Linked DNA regions of Struthio camelus. The protein of the gene in region 3 purifies or fractionates together with the protein of the main gene of each other region. This does not show direct contact. Links are inferred from orthologs where the notes say so. Each region holds a gene or a part of one and is shown on either strand. Other genes may lie near its edges.

The links.
Region 1: the proteins of TNIP2 (region 3) and TANK purify together in Homo sapiens (affinity purification with mass spectrometry; 3 studies listed by BioGRID and IntAct, with this or other methods). This does not show direct contact. The link is inferred for Struthio camelus from reciprocal best matches to the Homo sapiens genes TNIP2 and TANK.
Region 2: the proteins of TNIP2 (region 3) and MAP3K8 purify together in Homo sapiens (affinity purification with mass spectrometry; 3 studies listed by BioGRID and IntAct, with this or other methods). This does not show direct contact. The link is inferred for Struthio camelus from reciprocal best matches to the Homo sapiens genes TNIP2 and MAP3K8.

The regions. Positions count from the first base shown.
Region 1 is NC_090947.1:27,036,725-27,044,688, forward strand, and holds the start of TANK (TRAF family member-associated NF-kappa-B activator), read right to left. Parts: upstream 3,145-7,964; 5' UTR 3,006-3,144; intron 2,801-3,005; exon of another isoform or gene 2,674-2,800; intron 2,391-2,673; 5' UTR 2,257-2,390; intron 1-2,256.
Region 2 is NC_090943.1:18,073,052-18,080,622, forward strand, and holds the start of MAP3K8 (mitogen-activated protein kinase kinase kinase 8), read left to right. Parts: upstream 1-4,276; 5' UTR 4,277-4,394; coding exon 4,395-4,532; intron 4,533-5,207; coding exon 5,208-5,332; intron 5,333-6,316; coding exon 6,317-6,677; intron 6,678-7,571.
Region 3 is NC_090945.1:77,064,417-77,072,631, reverse strand, and holds the start of TNIP2 (TNFAIP3-interacting protein 2), read right to left. Parts: upstream 3,298-8,215; 5' UTR 2,945-3,297; coding exon 2,468-2,944; intron 1-2,467. UniProt on the Homo sapiens protein: Inhibits NF-kappa-B activation by blocking the interaction of RIPK1 with its downstream effector NEMO/IKBKG.

The DNA.
Region 1 (7,964 bases), on a different chromosome or scaffold from region 3:
AAGCATGCTCTCACACTCCTTAAAAACTTGCAGAGTACCAAACTTGATTTTGTACTTCTTCAAAATTCTCCAGAAGACACTTAATTTGTAACAGTTTACGTAATAAACTGTAATATCCTGTACATAAAGTAACTTCAAAAATTGAGTTAAAGGACTATGTTCAGCTTCTAATGGAGGGAATGGAGTTCAGCTACAGATGGTTCATACTCCATAGAAAATGAAGCTATTCTAAATTAAAATCTCAATGTAAAAATTAGTACTTAAAAGTTATCCCCAACTTCCAGCCTCTTCTTTACTCATTGAGGCTGGGAGTATCAGCAGATTTTGGCTTGTCTGGACCGCAGGTGGGATCAGTTATTTTTGCTACACCATAAAGAGCTATAACCCTACACCTGCCTTTCTGCTTAGGAAGTAAGAATAAGGAGAATGTTTGATTATAGTCCAAGTTTGAGGACCACTCCCCCTCCCCCTAGAAAATGTTAATTTACTGGTAGCTCCCAAAAATCCAGATTTCATGTAGTAAGAAAGGGGCAATGAAAGTCAAAATTAGTGCAGCTGGACACTTCAAGGTGGAACTGTTACTAGAAGAATTAGTCCTGCGTTCACTTATACTCCTAGATACTCATGATTCTGCTTCCACCTCACCCTTCCACTTCTGCCAGCACAAGCAACTCCACTGTAAACCATATCAGTGAATCAACACAGCTTAAAAGTAAATGCTAGAGGTATTTTTGCTGTGTTAATTATAGTGCAGATCAGTTCAATGGACTAATTCACACTGCACAATCACACCAGTGCCTGTGTCACTACAAGGGACTTGTACTAACCAGTAAAAATTATGGAGACTTTTTAAATGGATTTTTTTCACACAATACTGTCATCTTTTTACACTTTGTAAACAATTTCAGTATCAACTCCTGAAACTACAGCTCATCAACACTGACACAGAAGACGTGAGCAAAAGGCACACAGAACTCCTGTTTTCACTGGTAGTGTTAGCTTTGAAATTATCGCATGAAGCCATGGTTACGTAACGTGATTTAGGTCTGCACTGCCACAGAAATCGATACTTCCTGCCTTCCTCCATCCTGTGCCACGTATTTTTGCCATCTACGTGTACCAATGTTAGCATTTATATGCTACACCTGTGAGTTGCGTCAGAGAACTAGCCCCCTACCCCCTCAAAACAAACAAGCAAAAAGTTAAGCTGGTGCTAGCTCACTGCAAGGCTGCTGGAGCGCTACTACCAACACAAGGAGGCAGTGGGAACGTGAGACTAGCTGTGGGCAGGACTGCAGCAGCCTAGATTTAGATTGGATTAAACTACTCTGTAGTCACACCCCGAGTTGCCTACTGCTGGAATAAATAAATAACATAAGAAGCAGGAATCTCATGTCCAGAACTCCTTGGGATTAAAAAAAGGGCTCCTTTTCCTGCTTCTCCTCCACAGGCATCAGCTTTATTCAGGGAAATCGCCAACCGTTCCTTGCCATTAACTCTGCTCCCTGCATCCAGTTAGGAGGGGGGAAAAAAACCAAAACCCCAAACCGCCAAAAAACAAGTATTCCCACTAATCTAATCTGGGTTATGCTGCAATGATATAGCAACTGGAACATCTTCAGCCCAAAGTTCACAATCCTAATCTTTAGCAACTGACGCTCTAGACGTTCGGTAGATCCTCAAAACTCTTTACCAATTACTAGCAGCAATATAGAGTCAGTACAGATTCAGCAATACAAAATGCTGTATTCATTCTAACAAGTGCAGAATTAGAGAGATTAGCTCCAGAGTGTGTCTGATGAGAGAGTCCTGTAAATGCAAATAGCTTTGAGGGTTGTGGTGCTGGAACTATGGGAATGAGTACCAGAATTTCATCTTTGAGTGAAGACTTGAACACTGGAAAACACCAGTTTATAGCACATGTTTTAAGATAAACTTTTCAGTAAACAAACCAAATGAAACCTGCAGATACCCTTAAAGCTTGTTTCAAGTGAAAAGCATTTCACTGATATAGAAGGGAAAAAATACAGCAGCAGCGAAAATTTCCCAGGAAGTTTGTATTAAACGCCAACAAAGCCCCAACACAAAGACGAGCAACATTCTGCCACGTACGTCCTGGAATCCCAGCACCAGAGATCACTAAAAAGACACACTGTGCGTTTTCACAGTGCCTCAGGAAACACCCTAAATTCTGCAAGAAAAGGTTTTAGCTAATCCAGTGTGTATACAAGTTCATTCATAACACAACATGCCTACCTCTTGTAGGTTCACATGAAAATACAGATGCCATCCAGAAGCAAGTACTTCTCTACATGTTTCTGCCTTCAAAACAGTTTCTTCGGTGGAAATATTTTGTAAGTTATACTGCCATCATCTTGGGAACTGGAAACCTGTTGAAGTAATCATTTGTGAGAGACTGAGAGAGCTCACTGCACTTTCGATGGGCTTTTTTTTTTTTTTCCTAATGGGCAAAATAACTCCTGCTTTGCACTACTGCGAGAAGAGTCAGCAATCCCATAAAAACCACTCATGTCACAACAGCGTTACAATTCAGAGAGCAGACAGACCCTCCGAGCTCAGGGAAAGAGATGAGGATTATTGGAGAGCTGGGGTTTAGCACCCCCCACCCCCAAGCTGTTACTGCCAGGAAAGAAATGACAGTTCTCTCTGTACCTCGCTCGCCGGAGCGGCAGGCGATCGCCACCAACGAGCGAGCCCGCTGCCCCGCGCCGCGCCGCCCGCCCCGGCCCCCTCCGCGGGGGCGCAGCACGCCTCCGCGCGCAGGCTACGCGCCCCCGCCCCGCTGCGCTCCCTAAGCCGGGCAAAGCGGAACTAGACGGGAAACGGCACCCCTAGGAGTCGACGGCGGAAGCGCCGAGGGCAGGGCCGGCCGGCCGGGGAAGCCCGTCGCCGGATGCTGCGGCCCGCGCTCCCGCCGCCGGGCCGAGCGCCCGCCGCTCCCCGCGGAAGGCAGCAGAGCGGCTTCAGGAACGACTTAGACTTACGAGCACCTGGCGGAGCCCACGGCCGCCCCGGCACGGAGCGCCCGCTCCTGCCCGAGCGCCTTAACCCAGGAACCAGAACCGACTTCCTGTCGCGCTCTCCCCGCCCGCCGCGCTGCCCTTGCACCGCGGGGCAGCGGCCGCCGGGCGCCGCGGGGAGCGCCGGGCGCGCCGCCCGCCCGCCCGCCCGCCGTGGGCGCAAGGCGAAGCTGCCCCGTCTGCCCTCGCCCGAGCCTTCGCTTCGCTTCGCTTCCCCCAGCTCTCCTCCGTCTGTGCCTGCGATGGCTTCATCACGGGTCATTTTTCTGCCTGGCTGCCGCCCTCCCCCCTCAAGCAGGGTCTGCGGTGCAGTGCTGGTGAGAAGGAGCCCTACGTCAATTCCAGAGCTCCCTTCCTGTTTAAGTCTTTTCATGATTCTGTGTGTGGTCTTTGTGAATAAAAATGCTCATATCTGTGACACGATTATACTTATTGTACCCAGTGTACTTTCTAAAGCATCTTGTAAGTTATTAAGGTGACATTTTTTCTGCATTTAGTTATTGCAGGCAATAGATTTTTATAGATAAGCTTGTAATGGAAATGCAGTTAACAATTTCAATTTTGCTACTGCCACAAGCCCTTCTTTCTCTTGGTCGCATGTAGGAACAGAACTCTTCCCGAAGGGGTGTACGAGGAGGAGAGTTGATGGGAGCAATGTGCTTGCACAGGTTATCGTCGTGAAGACAGCGGAAGAGAGGCCTTACAGACTTGCATTAGCCTCACCTGTCTCCCCTCCCCAGCAGCTGTCTGCGCACAGGCAGGCTGCGGGGTTTCTTCTGCTAAAACAGTGGTTCCGCGTGCGCGCTCGCAGAGCAGAACCTGGATGGCCGCGTCTGCGTCTCGGCTCTGGCAGCCTCGCTGTCAGGTGTGCGAGCGGGAGCTTGCAGCGGAGGCCAGGCGTAGGAAGAGTACGGCGAAGGGAGCCAGGCGTTGTTCGCTGTACTTTGTTGACAGTTCTTTGCATTATGACTTACCATTCCTGATAAGTCTTTAACAACACTTTTGGTCTGTTCTGGTCTGTTTCTAAGACTAAGGAGACTTGTAGGTGGATAGTTTAATGAGCCAGTAAACACGTTTCCTAGTTAGCTGCAATTTAAGAATTTTGGGTGAGGTTCTAATGAACCTATTAAGGTTCAGAGAGGGTTTTCTCCTTTAGCATGTTCCCAAGAAAGGGAGAAATCTCCTCTTTCAGAGACCTTTATCTTAATTTAACAGGCTGTTTGAGATACCTAAGTTCAGGTTTCATTTAACTAGATCTTTGTTGAAAAAACGCGCACACACACACACACACACACCCCCCACTTGTTCCTTTTTTAGTTTCTACTTTTTTAATCTTTATCTAGTCTTACCAAGAAACTCTGTACTTCAAATGATAATGAAATTTATCCCAATTAGTAATTGAAATAAAAAAGCTCTGCAATTTTTGAATTCAGATCAATGTACATAAGTATGATTTAACTGAAACTATATTTAAAAACAGGTAATGTGCAGGAAAAATACAAGTAGGTGTGGCAAACAAATGACAATAAGCATGAACCAACTAAGAGTATGGATACCTGGACTTGAATAGAGACATACTTAACATATATACCATCTGTGAAATGGTATAATTACATGTTAGTGCTTTTGTAGGAAATAAATGTTTGTTTATTAAATTTTAGCAGTGTACTTAATGTAAGTTTGCTGTGAAGGTCTTAGACCTGACAGAGCAAAGTTGACAGCCATATAGCAACATGACTGGTTTTCAAGTCACATGCATTATTCTCTTAGTGCTTTATAAGTAATATTCTTTCACAATAAAGCACAAGAGAAGCTGATCTTTTTTCTATCTTTGTTATTCAGGAATTTTTTTTTCTTTTCTGCATTTCCTCCCCAAGTATGGTAGAATGTACATTGCAAGCAGTGACATATCTTAACATTCTTAGAAACTTCCAAAGCTTTGAATAAATTCTTGTTAAATAGAAAAACACCTGTGAAAGTCAGAGTATAAGCTCTATATTCGGTAGCTAACTTGATCTTTAACTGTGATCTTTTAAAGGAAGAGTGGGTTCTGCCCCGCTGGTTCGTTATTTTTGTCCTTTTCTTCCTCATCTTGCTTTCTTTTTCTCTTTCTGTTTTTCTGCTTCCCCCTCTTTAGTCTCTGTATCTCCATCCCTACAACTATTCCAACAAACACTTTCTGCATTTCAGTCTCACATCAATATTTGACGTTTTTATGTCATTGTTAAGGCAGAATTGCGTTCCTACCTGCAGCCTTCACAAGATAACTGGGAAGAACAAGCGTGTTTCAGTGTATTTAACTCTCATCTGAGGTTTTAGGAATCTACCAGTCTGACTGTTTTTAAGATATGCTTGCAGTGCAGCAGTTGCAGAAAGACTGTATTTCAGTAACGGTTTAAATCAATTCATTTTTACGGTTTAAGTTTATAAGTACCAGTTGGCTTCTACAGACTGTCAGAAACAGGTTAAAATGTTTCTTGAAACTTCCTGCTGTAGCCATGCGTTCAGACACTAGGTGGCTCACGTCAGATGTTTAAACCTTTTCCAGAACTAGTCGGCTTTTCCAAAGGAATGTATGGCACAATTCTAGGTGCGGACAAAATCTGTACTGTTGCGTGTTGTTACAGGATTTTTTCGATAGTTTATTTCCCCCTACCACAAAAAATGCCTTGAAATGCCTTTCCTGGGTCATAAAAGGAGAACTGTGGATTAATTTAGAGTGAAAGTTATAGTTCCCTAGCAATAAGGAACAGGAGGCTGAATCTTTTTTTTCCCCCAAAAGAAAGAGTAGTTAGTTGATGAGCCTGTGGAAACTTAAGTCCATGCAATGCAAATAAGGTTTGCATTTTGCCTATAGATTGTAACAGGTAAATCCTGGGTTCCAGAAACTAGCTCAGCAACGTTTAATCAAAGTGCAGACATACAGACTTGGTGCAGTCTAAGCAGTGTAAAAGCAGTGTTAGTACAATTACAATGTTTGTAGCTCATTTTATACTTTTTCTGCATATCAGCACACTGAAGTTGGTAGGAATGATTTATTCATTTTCTTTACATGCAATGGAAACCAAAGGTTTTGATTACCTTGTAAGTAACTTCCTTAAGAATATTTTTCTTCTGTCAGCTCTTCAGTGACAGTACGGTCAATGCCTACGTTATCTGAGAGCAGTGCCAACAAGATTATGAAATGCAGTTCTGTACTTCAGTACGGGTTATGACTAATACTAGCTGGGAACTTCCACTGAGAAATACCCAACTGCAGAACTTCCTTATATGCAACTGCAAACAACCAGATATTCTCTGTAACAGAGGCTAGCAGAAACAGTCTGTAAAACTGGCTTTGGACCCAGTGCAGCATTCTTTATTTTCATGAATAATTCCAGTGATTTCTGGAGGCTCACTGTCATGAGAAAATGCTACCCTGCCTGAAAAGGGAGCAGTGCATGAACAGGCATGCCTGAAAACAGTGAGCAGTACATAGTAACTGCTGCACCCAATGTAATCTTTTTTGTAATCTTTTTTTTTTAAACACATGGAGAAGAAAAAGCCAGTGATGCTAGTGAAACCAATAGAAAGTAGCAACAACTTGGTAAAACCAGTGCTATTCATCTATATAGAATATTGCCTGTGTTACATAGAGAGAGTGAAACAAGATGGAGGTTGAAATACTTCTTAGAGAAGAATAGCACAAACCTAATGCACTGATTCTGGATTCAAGGGGAGACTGGGACAAGTATTTGGAAGAAAGATTCACTGAGGGAAACTAAAGAGACAGGCAGCATCAATCTCAGGAAATTCCCTGACCTGAAAATAGCTGGCAGCTGGGAGAAAACTCTGAGGAAGTATCACATATGCTTGCCCTGTTCTTACTCTTCCCAGGGCATTGATTTCTAGCCGCTGCCGAAGAGAAGATGGGTCTGAACCAATGTGGCATATGTTCTTACGTTAATGACTACATGCTGATACAAACGTGTAGGAATTTGTCTACATTAAACAATCTCCTGTGAAAGACAGGATACCTAGAAGGGTAGGGAACATTACTAATGGAGAAGCTCCAAAAGCTCTTACACCATTAATTTAGAATTATTTTTTTATTATTTTAGAATATCCATTTAGAAGATAAAACCTTTTGGCAGGTTTATAAAAGAGGATCAGTGAATTGTAACTGGGTTGGAAAAGATGCAGTGTACAGTTTATGTTTGTCTATTTTTGCAGTTAAACTTTGATGACCAATGGAGCAGCTGCATAATTTCGTGGCTTTCATTGTCAGTAGCCATTTTAACCCATAGTATACACAAAGCTTAAAAGAGGGTATGTCTATGTAAATGCATAGCATGGCAACCTTGCTGTTTGGTGGGCTGTAGACATGCCTTGAGAAAAAGGCCTTACAAAGACTGGTGGATGGAGATTTTTTCGATTCTTTAGCTGGTGACAGTGTGACAGTATATAATAGTTTAACTGCAGTTTATTTAGTGCAGGAGCTTTGAACTGGGTCTCCAAATACACTGGTTAATGTCCAAGTTTTTTTCAGTTAACAATGAAATCTAGTATATATAAAAACCGTATAATGCAATAAAATTTCCAGGTTTCCACTGAAAGTGAAATTTATAGTAAAATCTTTTGCTTCTATTTTGTTTTTTAAGTAAAACACAAATCCACTTAAATTATTTTTACAAGATGATAAAGCAACTGAGAATGTATCTATGACTCCTTGACATAATGAGTTGATACCCCTTTTTTTTCTGTATTATTTGATTGTATGTTATAGTGGAACTTGAAAACAAATAGTTCTGTTGCTCTGAACAGTGAAAAATATTTTTGAATGATTCATCCATTCAGTCTTTTTCCTGCCAATACAGTTGTTCCATCTCTTCATTTTAACTTTTAAATTGTTTTACAACTGAAAAGATGGCTCTGTGACTTCAG
Region 2 (7,571 bases), on a different chromosome or scaffold from region 3:
CAGAAACTTCCTCCACGTGCCCGTAGTAGGTGACATCTTGTGACATGTCCATCCTGAATCCGTTGATGTGGAAAGCGAGAAACTCCTCCTCTTCTTTTCCTTTGAAGCTGATCTAAAAAAGGAGAATGGTTTCATTAAAATTAATTGTGGGTTTAGGAAAACTAACGACCTAGGCAGGTTCCTGAAAGAGGATGCCTAAGTTACCTAGCGTGAGAGCTGCTGTAATGTGTTAAAGGAGCGTTACTCAGCCTTAACCTGCCACCTCCGGGCTGCTGCCAATTCTGCCCTCCCCTACGCCGCACTGCTCTCCTCATTCCTCCTCCTACAGCCTACCTTCTTCCCAAATTCCCTTTATTTCCTTCTTCCATTTTTTTCTCCCTAGTCATCTTCACCATTCTTGAATTTATCCCATGTACATTTCTTAGTGAGTGTCCTGAACAGCACAATTGAGCAAGAACAAACTCGACAAGATCCGTATCTCCTGCGTGGAGATTTGCCAATGTATCACCTATACGTTGTGGAGAAGAAGCTCTGTGTGAACAGAGGTCAGCGCTGCTAGCAGCGTTCCTCATGCTAAACTGTGAAGCTAAAACACAACTAGATCGGGCTGCAAGGAGTTACACGTACTGAAAATAAACACTGAGGCCTAAGGTGAATTCTTTGTCCTGAAATTTTATAATGACAGTTTTGCCATTGACTTCAGTAGGCACAGATTTCACATAAGTCTATTATAACGCAGAAAAAAAAACAGAACATACAGCCCTTGTCTCCTAAGATCTCAAAACAGCTTCAACTCATCAGCTCCTAGTGTTGTGGGAAGTGGTTTTGGTGATCAAGAGATGCCGCTTCTCTCTCTCTCTAAGCAAGAACTAATGCACTAGAAGAGCAACTACCGGGGAGCACAGCCCTGCAAGAGTTACTGCCTGTTCAATGAGGAACAAAACGTAGTCCAGCCCATTTTTAGCAATTATCAAACTCATGATACAATCCCCCCAAGGATTTTAATCCTAAAGCCACTGGCAAATCCTACACGTTGTTGTCCTAAATTCCAGCGGAGTTTCAGCTGAAGTTTTACTTAGATACCGCTGAAGCTAAGTGTGCGTGGCGAGCGCATCGCCTCCCTTCTAGGTTCCAGGTGCCACACGTGGGAACGTCGGGGACTTTGGGAAAGGGCTTCCCCGAAGCCATGGACCAGAGACCCTGAACTTGCCAGCTGAAAATGCCGCAGGCAGGGACGCGGTTGGGCATTACGAGAGCACTCTGCGGGATTATTGTTAGACCACTGGCTGCTGAGGTGAGCAACCTACTTCAAATCCCCGTTCTGCCGGTTTTCTAGCAAAGCCTTGAATGCAGCTTTCCTCCATTCCAGGATGACCTAAGAACTCACTGGGTTACACAGTCATGTTTCTGCCCCCCCTTCCCCCCCCCCCCCTTTCTGGTTCAGAGCGTTCCCCCCCAGACGGCCGGGGCCGGAGACCGGACCCGCTTCGCCCCCGTCCCCGCCCCGGCCGCGGGCGGCACCTTTACGCCCAGGGCGGGGAGGTGCCTTCCAGTAAAGCGAAATAGAAACCGGGGCCGGCGTTGCCCGCCCGTCCGCCCGCCCCCGGGAGTTTCCAGCGGGGCCGCCGCGTCGGGCGGAGCGGCCGCGGCGCCGGCTGCGTGCGGGAAAAGGGCAGCGCGGCCTCACGCGGAGCGCGCCCGGACGGCAGGTGAGGGGCGGCGGGCGCGCAGCGCAGCGCAGCGCAGCGCAGCGAGGGGGCGGCCGGCCGGCCGGCGCGTCTCCCTCCTTCCCTCCCTCGGGGAGGGGGGGGCTCCCGGGGTCCCCCCTCCCACTTTCCCGGCCCGGCGGGGCCCCTCTCACCGCGGCAGCCCTCCGCTGCGTGCTTAGGGGTTGGATGGGGATTTGAGGAAGAAAATACTCTTTTTTGGGCGGGAGGGGGGTGTCTTTAGGAAATATCACTTTTCAATATTGGTTAGTGACGAGCCTGCAGTTTGCGTGGAGCGAGTTAAGGCGCTGTTCGCGCTGAGCCCCGGCCCCTTTTCAGCTCGCGGCCGAGCTCAGCTCTGAGCCTGCCCTGTGAACTGCAGAGTGCTTCCCTCTAAAATGCAGCTTAACCCGATTCTAGTGCTTTAATACTTGTTCTCCTGAAAGGGACCACAGTGCTACTGCTGTATATATAGCTCAGTGACCCTGTATCAAGGAGGCAGAGAACTGGGGCTGTAGTTGGTGTAGGAAATCGGGCTCGCGTGGGAGCGCGTTCCCCCGTGTGCGGTATGGGATAAAGACGCGTCGGACGGGTCGGGGCCCCATCGCTGTGAGTTCAGCGGTGGCAGCTGGCGTGTGGCCTGGGCATTGGGAAATAGCCTGCCCTGCTGCTAGGAGCAGCTCTAGGAGCTGGGAAAGGTGCTGGCACTGCCAGCTGCCTGCAGTGATGCAAGGGAGATGCGGCTGGGAGGGTGCTGGGGTTGCCCGGCCGGCTGCTGCTTCGGGACGGCGCGCTCTTCCTCCTCTCTTCTCCTCTGCCGCTTGTCTTCCAGCTTGCTGTTTGTCAGACGGTAGATCAAGATTCACAAGGTTTTAGGTGGGCAGTTTCCCGGTTGCTGACAGCCTCCTGAACAGCATGGTATTTGCTGCTAAAATCATACAATCTCTAGCACCTGTTCTCCTCCCTAGTTTAACTGGTTCTGTATCTGCAGACCGAAAAGGAGATCAGTGTATTGGTTTGTATTGGAGATAAACTTTTAGCCGCTGTAAGCATGAGAAGGCCACTCCCCACCCCCAGTGAAAGTGTGAAATTATGTAGAAATGGAAATTGTTGAATTTTTTTGTAACTTAAAGCAGTTTTTTTGAATGGAATAATGTTTTTCAAGGTCTATCAATAGGTTTTCTTAAAAACAAGTATAGATTTTTGTCCACCACTGATGGTTAACTGCATGCAATCAGACCAGAAAATTATTAAAGACAATACAAGAAATCTTTGTATAGGTGTGTGATTGTATTGAGCCAGTCTGTGCAGATTTACTTATTTAGTTTTTTTACTCTTGACACAGAAAAAAATGCTGCAGGAGCTCAGAGGAATGGACTGTCCGGTCAACCTTATGCCCTTTAGTATGACACATAAAGACATTTTCAAGCAATGCTCTCCTCAGGAAAAGGCTTTTCAGGGAAAAGCTAGCTACTCATGACAAATAGAGAAATAAACTCCTCGCATGCTGATTGCTCATGTGATGATGTTGAAATGATGACAGCAGTGGAGAAGAAGTCTTGTGCTTTATCAAGTTTTTAAGTGCTTACATTTAGTTTTCTTTTTCCACTGTAGGTAAAAAGAAATTTTTCATTGAGGACTTAGTCACTTAAAGTCTTCAGTCACTTGGATTGTATAGAATGATTTGGAGCGTTATGTGAGTGCCCGGTACAGGTCCTAGGACAGAATTCTAGGGAGGAAAGGGAGAACGAATTCACTGCTAGCAAATGGACAACCTTTGCCAGTGGTGGAAATGTAACCTATAAGTTGCTGCATAATTTAAAAAAGATCAGATTTACAGAGTCTAGAAACTGGTCTCATTATGTAAGCATTTGGTATCTGGAATTTACTAGATGCGGGAAAATGAACAGTTTGCAGCTGTTCTCGAGCACTAAAGGCATAAAACTGAGAATAAGCTGGTTGTAATAACTTTCTTCTAGTTGTTCAGACCTTTGTGGGTAGTAGTGCACCTGTTGAGAATAATATTAGGAACACGGTGCAGTTCGGGAACATTTCGAGGAACAAAGCAGAATTGGCACTGGTGGAAAGCTGTGTTTGGTCGAAACCATACAATTTTTTAATGCATGAAGATGCTATTAAAAAGTGAGTTATTTAAGCATGTTGTTGACCTGACTATATCCAAGAAGGACCAGAACTTCTGCAGGCTCGTATTCTTTCTCAGAAAGTCCCTTAGGACTTGTTTCTAACTTACCTTACTTTTCTCATGTAGTCTCTCAGTTCCTCTTATGGCTGGATTGAGTGTTTCTTTTCCCTCCACCCCCGTGAATGCAGCATCAAAAAGCAACCAATAAAAGCCCTGCTATGGAGAAAGATATAAATCTCCTTTATAAAGAGTAAACACTTTCTAACAGCCTCTAATTTGGGGATAGAGCAGGAAGGTGGGATGCTGGGGATTAGAAAACAGCCTTTGCTTCTGTTATTTCTTGTTGTGCAGCTTGAAAAGACCTGACCCCTCTCACTACCCCAAATACAAATTCCGCTAAATTAGTGCTAATGACCACAAATTTTTGTACTCCCACTTCCCTAAAGCTATGGGTATTGTTGCATTCACTTGATGATGGGTGAACTGGTATGGGTGAGTGCTGGTGAAACTCATTAACCACGTCCGTCCGGAGGGACGGTGGGGGCATGGTGCTACCCCGATGCTGTTGCCGCAGGGCTTGGAAGGGGCACCAGGTACTTGACATGCCTGGTCGTGGGCTGTGTCTGCAGTTTTCCTGCCCTGCCTTTCGAACTTGCCGCGCACGATCTGAATTTCTTTGCCAGGTCAGCCACGTCATTTTACTCGCTTTTCTTCAACGTTAGAGCTGACGTAAATACTCTAACCCATGAGAAATATGTACCGCAAAGGTTCCACGTCCTTGTGGGGAGGGTAAGGAAGATAGTAATCAAAACCAGGGACTGCACCTAAGTAAACGGCACTGCTTTGTGGCCCCAGCGGACTGAGTCTGCTATTTGTCCTTGAGATAGCTAGACTGTGCTTCTTTCTCTCTTTCTTTCTTTCTTTCCTTTTCTTAAAGTATCTTTTTTTTCTGGCTGTTATCTTTTGCACAAAATAGGTGTTCACAGTGGATTATGAAAATAGGAAGTGAGAGCTCTGTAAATAGGATGTGTTCTACTCGGTTCTGCCAGAGGAAAAGGAGATTCTTCTTTGTTACTTGCAAGCATTAGGCAGAGAGAATAAAACTCAGAAGCTTACCATGGAAAACTTATTTTTCCCCACTACTTGGAAATCTGGATGTTCATACAATTGCTTGATTCTTGTTTGAGCTGTCTTTTTTTTTTTTCTTTCTGCAAAAAAAAATCCCCTATTTTCTCAGCGCTGTGACTATTAATTTTTCTTTCCATGAAGCCTGTGAAGCAAATGTCATATGAGTAGAGGCCGGTCCTTCTGCTTGAGCAGGTCTGCCATTACTTTACTTTATTTTACTTTTTTAATAGACTGCTACAGAACGCTGTGAAATTGTCATCAGTGATAAACACAGGTTCAAGATACATGGCAGCTTGAGGCATTACATTGAGACGTTTTTGATGGTTTTGTGTGATGTAACCAGGATAAATATAAGGTAAGCATTCACTGAAATTTGCATGTTGAAAACTATTTGTATAAGTATTTTAATGATTGACTATGCATATATGTTTTTAACTTGAATACAAAAACTCTGTCTGGCTCACGTTAGGAACCTGGTATGGGAGGGGACTTCTTGGGACACTGAATCCAGCGTCCTGTCATTAAAGTCCTCTTTAAGAAAATGGTCAAGATCTATCTTAAAAGTTATTGTTAGAAATAGTGAGGACAGAACAAACTTCTGGAAACTGCTTCAAAAGCTCATTGCTCTTACGATCAGTCCATTTCTGATTTTCTTCTTAAATGAGTGAAAATTTCAGTCGAAGTCTAGTTCTGGTCAGTAATGTCATCTCAAAACGGGTGGAGTATTTCAGCTGTATTTCAGTATCTCATTTGTGCATTGCACAATGATACTAACAGATGCTTTTTGCTGCTGTAATGGTCTTGCTCCATGACTTTCTCCTCTTTGGGGGCACATCACATAAGTTGCTCAAGAACATTTGGGGATGAATTTGTATGGTACACTTACATCTCTGTCATCCATTTCAAAATGATGAATGCACTCTTAGAGCAAAAGTTATTAGTTTGTGAGGACATAAAACCTTGTTTTTTCTCCTGTTTCATTGCTTTCTATATAAGCTCATCTATATTAAGGATACCTCTTCATTTTTGCATAGTGCAGCAAAATATAACTAGTTCACGCTTCCGTGTTGTGCCAGCACCCGTAACAAAAATCTTTGATGAAGAGAATTCCAAGAGTGAGTGATTTGGAGTGTTCACTAACAACTTTCAAACAAAATTCCACTAATAAAGACTTTGTTTTCTCTGTCTCCTCTTCACCCAGTCTACTAATCATGACTTTTTGCATAATACAACGTACTAATTTTAAATCTAACCATATAATAATGAGCTTTTATTCTTACTCTGTTGAAACAACTTTAGATGAAGTGATTTCAGGTTTGTTTGTTTCTTTTTTTTTCAGGAGTGGTTTTGCAAAGCAGACAGTAATGGAGTATATGAGCACTGGTAGTGATAGCAAAGAGGAAATTGAATTGTTGCTGACTGATTTAAATATGTCTGAGGTGATAGACATCATGGAAAACCTTTATCCAGATGGGGACCTTGCAGTTTATGAAGACAGCATAATTACAATGTGTGAAGAGGCAAATCAAAATGAAGAGCGTGCAGAATCTTTACTGTTTTGTGAAAGGGAAGTTTCTTTGATGTCATGTGTCAAATATGGGACTGTGGAAGACTTGCTTGCTTTTGCAAATCAAGTGTCTAACACTACCAAACAACGTAAAGGATGCCGGCAGCAAGAATCTGGAATCCTTTTGAATATGGTATGTCTTTTTTTTTTTTTTTAACTCAAAAAATAAGGTTAGTTACTATTAGTTGATAGAAGTGATTCATGAATCTAAACAAAGATCACCTCCAATCTTAGAAGTCACAGTCAGAACATCGTTTCCTACGGGAACATGGGGCTGGTGGGCATCTCTGAGGCCATCAAGCCTAGCCCCTGCAGTCTCAGGTACCCATGGAAAAGGGTCTTTTGTTCAGAAAGGTCTGCTGTATGTTTACCTCTTGGTATCCCTGAAGATTAGAAAACACTTCCCAACAGTAAAGACAAACATGAGACATGCAGTAAAAGAGAAAAGCTGCAGGTGCAGTGGCATGCAGGAAGGACCTGGGAGATGATAAGGGTTTTCCAGTGCCTTGTGTCCATATGGTAACAGAGTCTGTTACACAAAACTCCCAGGTAAAGGTTTAGGATCTGTTTTAGTACAGTTGCTGAATTCACTCACTCTCTCTGGACAAAATATTGTAGAAAGCAGTAATACAAAGAGAAATGGCATATAGTATCAACTCTGACTTTCAAATCACTATATTATATAATATCATATACTGCTACATACTAGCACAGATATGTTGTTTTGAGATATGTTCTTTTTTTCCCTAAAATATTTTGTGTTGCACAAGCATCATTAGAAATTAGTGTTATTGTACTTCTGTTAAAAATCAGTTGCTTTGGAAACAAAACATCATGAAATGGAAGTTTATGCAAACATCTTTGCCTTCTGCTTTAGTTTCTTAATATATTCTAAATCAATTATCTTGGATATCTTCTATGCAATATGTTTTTTATGTGAGCATTGGTTGCTTGTGTCAAATAGCAAAGTCTTGTTTTACTCTTACTTGCAGGGGATATTGCAGTGTTGGAAAACAGTCGCTTTTTA
Region 3 (8,215 bases):
TTTAAAAGCAAACTGAACTCAAAGGCTGAAATATTTATGAGACTGAATTCCATGTTGCAGTAATTCCATATTGTTCCTACATTCACTGCAAAGTACTTCAGAAGTAAAAATAAATCCAATTCATTTCTATATAACCACTGAACTTTAGTACTGACAGATCAGTCAAACAAACAAAACAACAAAAACAAACAAAAAAAACAAGAAGTGCTCCAACAGCCATACGAGTACTTACAAGTCAGCAGAATCAAAAAAATCAAAAAACAATAAGCAAAAATTTAGGAAGACTTTATGTAAAATATATTCAGCAGCTACAAGCTAAAGATGAAACTTACGGCAAACAAAGCAGTTTGAAAGAAACGACTAGAGGCTGAGAAATGCTTTCTGATCCTGCATTCCAAATTACCACATAGCAGACCTCAAAAGAAGACTTTTCAGTTCCAATTTGATCAAAAACCAATGAAGTGTTCCTCATGTCATGGTACCAGGCAAAGGACAAACCAAAGATAGCACACACAACAACTTTTCCGCCTAGGAAAGGATGAATGGTAATGACAAGCAAATAGAAAATGAAATCTCCGTGGTAGCAATAACTCTATTCTGGCCATAACTATGTCCCCGAAACACAAGAGAGGGTCTAACATACTCTTAGGAAAGAGTTATATAGCTTACTGCAGTCGCTGCAGCTGTTTTGAGAATGAAGAAGTTTGCTTACGAACCAGGATACAATCATGCTGTAGTACCATGCCACACAGCAACACCTAGAGTATACCAGTCCCGAGTCTGTCAAAAATAGCTTGTCCTTCATGATCTCAAAGAAGAAAGGAAGTTGGTAACAGTTGGTAACAGCACTGTTCCTCTAGAATTAGTGTTGCCCTGGATACCAGGCTAGACAACAAGATACAAGCTTGACCCTACCCTTCCAGTTCTTCAAGGGTTGCAATCATAATCCTTGATCATGGAGCTGGAAATCACAGTAAGCAATCTTCTTCCAGCACACAGACCTTTGACTTCAGAACATTATCTGGCACTGTTTTTTTATTTATTTTTAGTGACAGTTATTTCATTTTTTTGATTTGGCATGAAACATTCATTTCTAGAAGTAATAAAATGATTAGTCTAACTTACAGGAATAGCACTTGCTCTTGTTACTAATGTTAAAATTCTTTAACTTCTTGCTAAATGATAAAATTTCCCCCTTGCTATGCTTACAGTTCCTGGGCAGATTAGAGACATAAGTTCCAGCGTCAATTTTCAGAATGTCTTTAGCTAGCACAGGTTTGTTATCTGTCTGCAAAGTGTCCGTAAGATTATCACTTATTACAAATTTCCAAACTTGAACTTATTTAAATGTATTTTAAGTGAGTGTCATATGTGGAAAGTGTTTTGTATAAGCATTAGGTCAAGAATTTACTTATGACAAAAATACTTGTTTCAATTTTAAGCACTACTTTTTGGTTTGGAAATTCCTTTACGCAGCTTCATATTGAAATACTTAAAAGAATTTTAAAGCATTTCTTTCTGATTGAACACAGGAAAGTCTTAATGATAGTACCAAAAATAGTACTTGTGGGGGATGAGACAGTTTTTAAGACTATTTTCTGTCATAAAGAGATAGCCTATTCCCTCAATCTATTGCCTCACAATCTAGAGTTGCTAGTTACCTCTCCAAGCATTACAGTGCTATTTTAATGACAAAACAAGGAAGCCATTTTTTTTTTAAAGTGAACTTTTAAAAAAAATACTGTAATAGAAAAAGTGTTGGCATCAATTGTTTATCTTATGGAACAGCACTGTTACATCTGATAAAGAGGAAGGTTTTTGTTTTTGTTTTTAAATAGGTAATATGGAACTCCTGAATTTAGCTGTTACTGAATATTTTCTCCTTCTGCTTGTGGAAAATAGTTATGTTATGATTTACAATGCCACACTAAGTTTTGATTTTACAGTTGCTTTAAAAAAAAAAAAAAGCTCTTTTATGTTATTGAACTTAATGCAGTAGAAACTAATCTTTGATACATAGGGTTGAGTTGATTTGCAAACAGTCCACCTCTGCACACAAAGTGTTAATGCAAGTCCTGTCAAATGCACCAACATATCAAGGAGCATCAGATCATTCAAAGCATTTGATTTCTTGTCCAGGCTCTGCCCCCAGCTTGCTATGCCACCTTGGGCAAGTCACTTAAAACCAAGTTTTCAGTGTCGGTGCCTGTGCACCTAAACGTGCTTCTATAAACTCAAATGTAGTATGTCTATAACCACGGTCATCACCAAGTATATTTCAAGTCAGATGCTCCATTCAAGACAACAAGTGCTGGAAACACTAAACTTAAAACTCGTCATTTTTGTAGGAAGAAGTACAGAAATAAAGCTCCCGAGGTACAATCTGCTGCAAGTACACACAACCTTTTGGAAAAGGCAGGCGACGCTCAAAGTACAAGTGCTATTCCGGGGGGCAGGTGGGGTTTACCTGGCTCAGAGTCTCCACTTTCTGTGCCGAGGTTTGCTCGCTGTCCCTGAGCTGCTGCCTGACCTGGCCGAGCTGCTCCAGGAGACTTTCCACCAGGGAGCGGGCGGGCTCGGCCCCGGCCCCGGCCCCGGCCCCGGCCGGCTCGCCCGCGGCGGGCGGCTGCCGGGCCAGGCTGCTCCTCAGCTCCCGGATCGTCGCCTCCTTGACGGCGAGCTGCAGCTGAAGGTGCTTCAGTTGCTGAGCCGACTCGTGGTACAGGGTGCAGAGAGCGTTGTACCGAGGCACTTTACTCTTCAGGCTCTTGTTTTCCCGGTGCAGCTTTTCCAGCGTTTCCTCCACCTGTTTGAACCGGGCCACCAAGGGGTCTGTACTGCTACCCTCGCTTACCGAGCACATGGCCGAGGACGGCGAGCCTCGATCACTCTGCTGCCCCTTCTCTCTCTTCTCCGGGGCGAACAATAATCCAGCCAGGTGCATATAAAGCCAAAGACGAGCCAGGCAGGGCCGCGGCTACTGCCGCTGTTCCTTCGCTCTTCCGCCTGCCGGGCCGCTGATGGCCGCTCTCCTTTAAGGCCTCGCAGGACCCGCCTGCTGCGCTCCCCTAGCACCGCCGCTTTTTCTACCGCGCAGGCCGAGCGGAGCCCCGCCTCCGCCGACGGGGGGGAACCCCGCCGCAGCGCAGCGCAGAGCTTTCCCGGGGCGAGGAGCCAGCGCGGACAGCGGGCTGGCCGGGGATCCCCGGGCAGGGGCAGCGCGGCGGCGGCCAGCTAAAACCTGGCGGCCAGCGGCGGGGAGCCCGGCTCCAGTGAGGGGCCGTTGGGGGAGAGCGACCGTCGGGGACCGCTGAGGGGGCTGACGGCGGAGGGAGGAGGTGGACGAGGGAGGCCGTTGGGCGGGGGGTGTGGGGGGGGAGGGAAGGCTGAAGTGAACAAGGGACCGTTGGGCGGGGGGGGGGGGGGAGGCGCGAGGTGAACGAGGGACCGTTAGGAGGTGAGTGGGGGGGGGCGGAAGGAGATGCGGGGCGATCGAGGCTCCTTTGAGGGGGCTCCAAGCCGGGGCTCGCCCAGCCTTGCGAAAGCCCCGCGGCGCGGTGTCCCAACGGGAGCCGCTCCGGGAATTTCCTGGCGCCGGGAGGGGACTTCCCGCCGCGACCCCTTGCCCCCACCGGCTGGCGCCGCTCCGCCCGGCGGAGCCGCCCCGGAGGCGGGCCAGGGAGGCGCATGCGCCGTGGGAAGGGGGGGTTAGCTTCCCTCCCCCACCCCACCCCGCTCCCGGCCGTTTAACGGTCTCCCCCGCCTCCCCGCTGTGGAGGCGGCGGGCCGCCCGGCCGGTAGGGCTCCTCGTTACTTGGCCGTGACGCCGCTGCCGTACGGGCCGCAGGGAAGGCGGGAGCCGCCGGCCCGGTAGCCGCAGCCATGTGCGGGGCCGCCACGGCAGCTGGGGGCGGTGGGCTTGGGGTCCTACCCCCTTAACAGTTCTGGAAACCGGCTTCGGGAGCAGTGGCCACCTCGGAGACTCAGCGAGGGGGGACATGTGGGCGCACTCGCTTTTCAGTGTAGGCATCTCGGTGTTGAAACCGTGGCCGAGGCTTGTCTGTCTTGAGCCAGGCATGGGAGCAGGGTCTCCCCTATGGCCTGGCAGGGGCAAAAGGATGCTTTGAGGCCAGTGCAAGCAGTGAAGAAATGTCTGGAAATCTTTGATAAAAGTCTGGTGGGTCAGCATCAATAACAGTAGGAAAGCTTTGGACCCAGGCATCTAGAGGAAAATGTGTTAAAATAGTGCTGCAGCCTTTGAGGAGAAGCTCACTCCAGTGAGGAAAGACTCTGGAGAGAGTGGATCATCTTCCAGTCATCACAAATTCGTTTGGTCAGCTTGTGTCTATACCTGTTCATCACACGTTGTATGTGTTCATGAGAAGAAGATAGAGCGCTGTTGATGTAAGTGAAACTAGCTGCCTCACACTGAGCCAGCACCTATTAGCCACCCCTGTGGTGGATATCTTTTCTATTAGCTGTATAGCAGTAGAACCAAAGATACAGTTACTCAGCTTATTTGGTACGGTAGTTCTCATTCAAGCAGGGGGATAAGCTGAACTAATATGAAGTAGTTTGGATTGGTTTAATTGTACCCATGTTATTATCATGTACTGGTAGAACACCAAGGGAGGAAAAAAGTCATAAAACCCTGGTTAAAAGGGTAAGAAAATAAAGCTCTGATTATTGTTTGTAATAATATTTATAATGACGTAGTCACACAGAGCTCTACATGTGAACACAGTCTTGTTGTACTGACTTCTGTACAATCATGGAAGAAGGTCCTGGACCAAAAAGCATACCTGTCTAATTATAGAGCAAGTGAAAATGGTTGGTTACCAGTGGTAGAGGAGATAAAAAGGGTAGACTCTGATCAGTATGACAGAGAGCGGCCTCCCTGTGCTAGCATCTTAACGACTTACAGCTGTCATAATAAAAGCCACAACAATGAGGAATGTTTGAGAACATAAATTAATCAAAAAGTTATGACTGTAGAAGAGTCTGTATGGCAAAGACATGACACTGGCTCAATCCTGCTAGTGATGGGTCAGAATCCTGGTGATAATTGTGAGATGAAAGTGCAAGGTGTGACATGTTGGCCTTTCATGAAAGGATAACAGGTGCAAAGTGAAACAAAAGAGGTTCCAGTTGCATATAAGGAAACCTTTCCCCATTAAGGACAGTCAAGCATTGGAACTGCTTGCCCACAGAGGTTGTGCCATCTCCATGCTTGGAGATTTTCAAGTCCTAACTGTGTAAAGCCCTGAGCAACCTGATCTGATAGCTGACCTTGCTTTGAGGATGAGTTTGGACCAGAGACCTGCTGAATTCCCTTCCAACTTGAATTATCCTGTGGTCCTGTGATTGAATTCAGCAGTAGCAGAAAGGTAGAAAGTCATCATTTTGCTACCGCGGTACTGCTGGAAAAGGTCTTGGCGTTCCCCAAAAGATCATACATTCAAAATGCTCCATTAGTGTAAATATTCATAAAAACAAAGCTGAATTTTATGGGTAGAAGAGCTTGTGTGACAGGAAAGGATAAAACAGTTGCCCAAGATAATGGTTTACAGTGTGTTTGTTACTTCATCTCGTAAATAATCTAAATACACCGTGACTAAGGACACGGGAAAATCATATGATCAAAAGTTGAGGAAATTACAATTTTTGACTGTCTACATGTAGAACAAAGTTAGTTCCTACAACCTTGAGGCATCATTTTTACTAGGAAAAAAAGAAAGGATAATTCCTACTTTAAAATACTAGCATTTTATAGTTTTCATATACATTAGTGGGAAAAGTGAAAAAATAAATAGGCTTCATTTTATATTTTCAGTATTTTCAGTACTGTTATGCTACAGTTAGAGCTTGGTGAAAAATGTACAGCAAAGTCACTTTTGCTGACTGTCAACAAATTTTTTTAGAAATATATGATAAAGCACTGGCTGGGGAGAAGTTTATCTGGCTTCAAATAGCAATGGCTGGGAAGCTCAGAGATTCCAAGGATCTACAGATGGGATGGCCGTATCCTGCTTACTATTCTTTGACCAGATATCAGAGCATTTAGTTAGCTATCAAACAGAATAATTTATAATACAGTGTGTTTGTAATTATTAAAATCAAACATTGCATCTAATTACTGAAAACTTGACATTAATAGTGCTTTGGATAAGCAAGCACTTGCCCAAGGAAAATACCACTGACTTAAGGGAAATTTGAGCTGCGTAAGTCCTGAGTAAGAAATTGATCCCGCGTGTTCTTGGGAATGCCCTTAGATGACGGTTTCCTTTTGTCAGTTCTGAAATGTGGAGGAATTCTTGGGAATTCAGCAGCTAGACGCTAGCGCCAAAGAATGAGTCAGATCTTAAGACGTGTTTCTTACTGTACCTGGCTTTTCCTGGATTGCCTTCAGTGTGGTTTTTTTATCAGATTCTCCGGTAAAGTAGATGGTCTACCAAGTTGCATGTTTGTACTTTTTCAGTTTTAGGCAATGAAATTATTGGATATTAAGCACAGTAATTCTGCTTGGCAAAGAACTGCATGAACAACAAGTATGCTCTGCACTACTTCATATAATGAAAATCCTTTATTTTCCAAACCTTACCAGCCTCAACTTAAAATCTAAAGTGAAGTTCACTTTGACTCTATCTCATAGTAGGGTGTAACACAATGATGGAGCCACGCAAGTAAAATCTAAGCTCAAATTAGATTTGCTGAAGAAATCAGCCTTTTCAGAAATGTAGGAATGTTGCTATTTTGTTAAAAAAAAATCTGGCAAGTTGCTCTAAGTAATTCTTCACATATCACCAACCACTATTATGATGCATGAGAAGTGTTACACAGTGTATAAGAAACAAAAGTGGTTAAATACTAGCTAGAAACGGAAAGGATACTAAGCTGATCTTAGGACTAGGAAAAAGGAAAAGTAAACAATATAGCTAGAGTGAATTAAGCGTGCATTAATTTTTTTTTATAAATTTGTGTTAAAATGAGTTATTTGTAGTTTAAGGTTTATTAAAAAGATATGATGAACTGATTTCAGTTTCATATAGGTGAAAATTAAGAATAATTCCATTGACTGTAGTAGTTATGTCTCTGTAATTTTAGTGCAAATGACACAAGAGTGAGTCTCTGTATTTAAAAGTATAGTTCTGCTTGAAAAAGTCTGTAAAACAGATTTTGGGGTTCTGTCATTCTGCAGATAATGTAGTATGCTTGATTTGTGAGAAACTGTATTTTTTTTGAGCTGTGAACTCCAGAAATTATTCAGGCAACCAAGCTGCATCTGTTCCCATCTCTTCCTCTAGTCACCATTTATAATGGTCCTGGAGACTAAATTGTGACCTAATGATACTGTTCCATTGCCTTGAGCTGATTTATCAAAGTGTAACTAATTATAGATTAGTAAGTGATTCTCTTGTTGCTCTCTGGTAAAAAATCAACAGCAGCGCACACTTCCTTAACTTTTGACTCTGTAGTGTTAACAGGAATAAAAATCACTAACAGTTTTTTTTTCCTCTCACTGAGATCAGTTGATGTATCTTAGAATACCCACAGCTACAAAAGGTGTCCAACTTAGAGCTCTTCATAAGTCTCAGAGTCTAATTTGGATGCTGACCGAATAGTTTATGCTTCTATGACTCATAGTTTAAGTGATGTCGTGTTTGCAGCGGTCATGTTTGCAGTTCTTAAATGGGGAAGGGTAAACTTCCTTAACATATAGTATTAAATTGGATGTTCTGATAATTTCTTAAATGGGGAAGGGTAAACTTCCTTAACATATAGTATTAAATTGGATGTTCTGATAATTTAATGCACTACATTTTGTACAGTTTGAATGGGAAACTCATACAGAGGTTAGTTTGAGGCCATTCAGGAGTCCTGATATCGGATGAACTCATTGTTATGACATTTGTACGTAGCCATGTCCCTGCGCTGAAGTTATGGCTTGGATCGCAACATTCCTGTTTCAGTCTTGTTTTCAGTTTATATACTTGGTGATTAAGCCCTATTTACTGAATGACTCAAAAATGTAAACATAAGAATATTTAGGAGAAATAGCACAGATTTTATTTATTTCTAGCGTAAGCTTTTCCCCATACGTTTTACGCAGTTTGAACTTTGGAAGATGCCAAAAAATAGAGCGTTCTGCTTAAAGGCAAAGTTCCAAGACCTGCTTTCTTAATTGCAGTAAGGCTGAAGTAACCAGGAAGAAGAG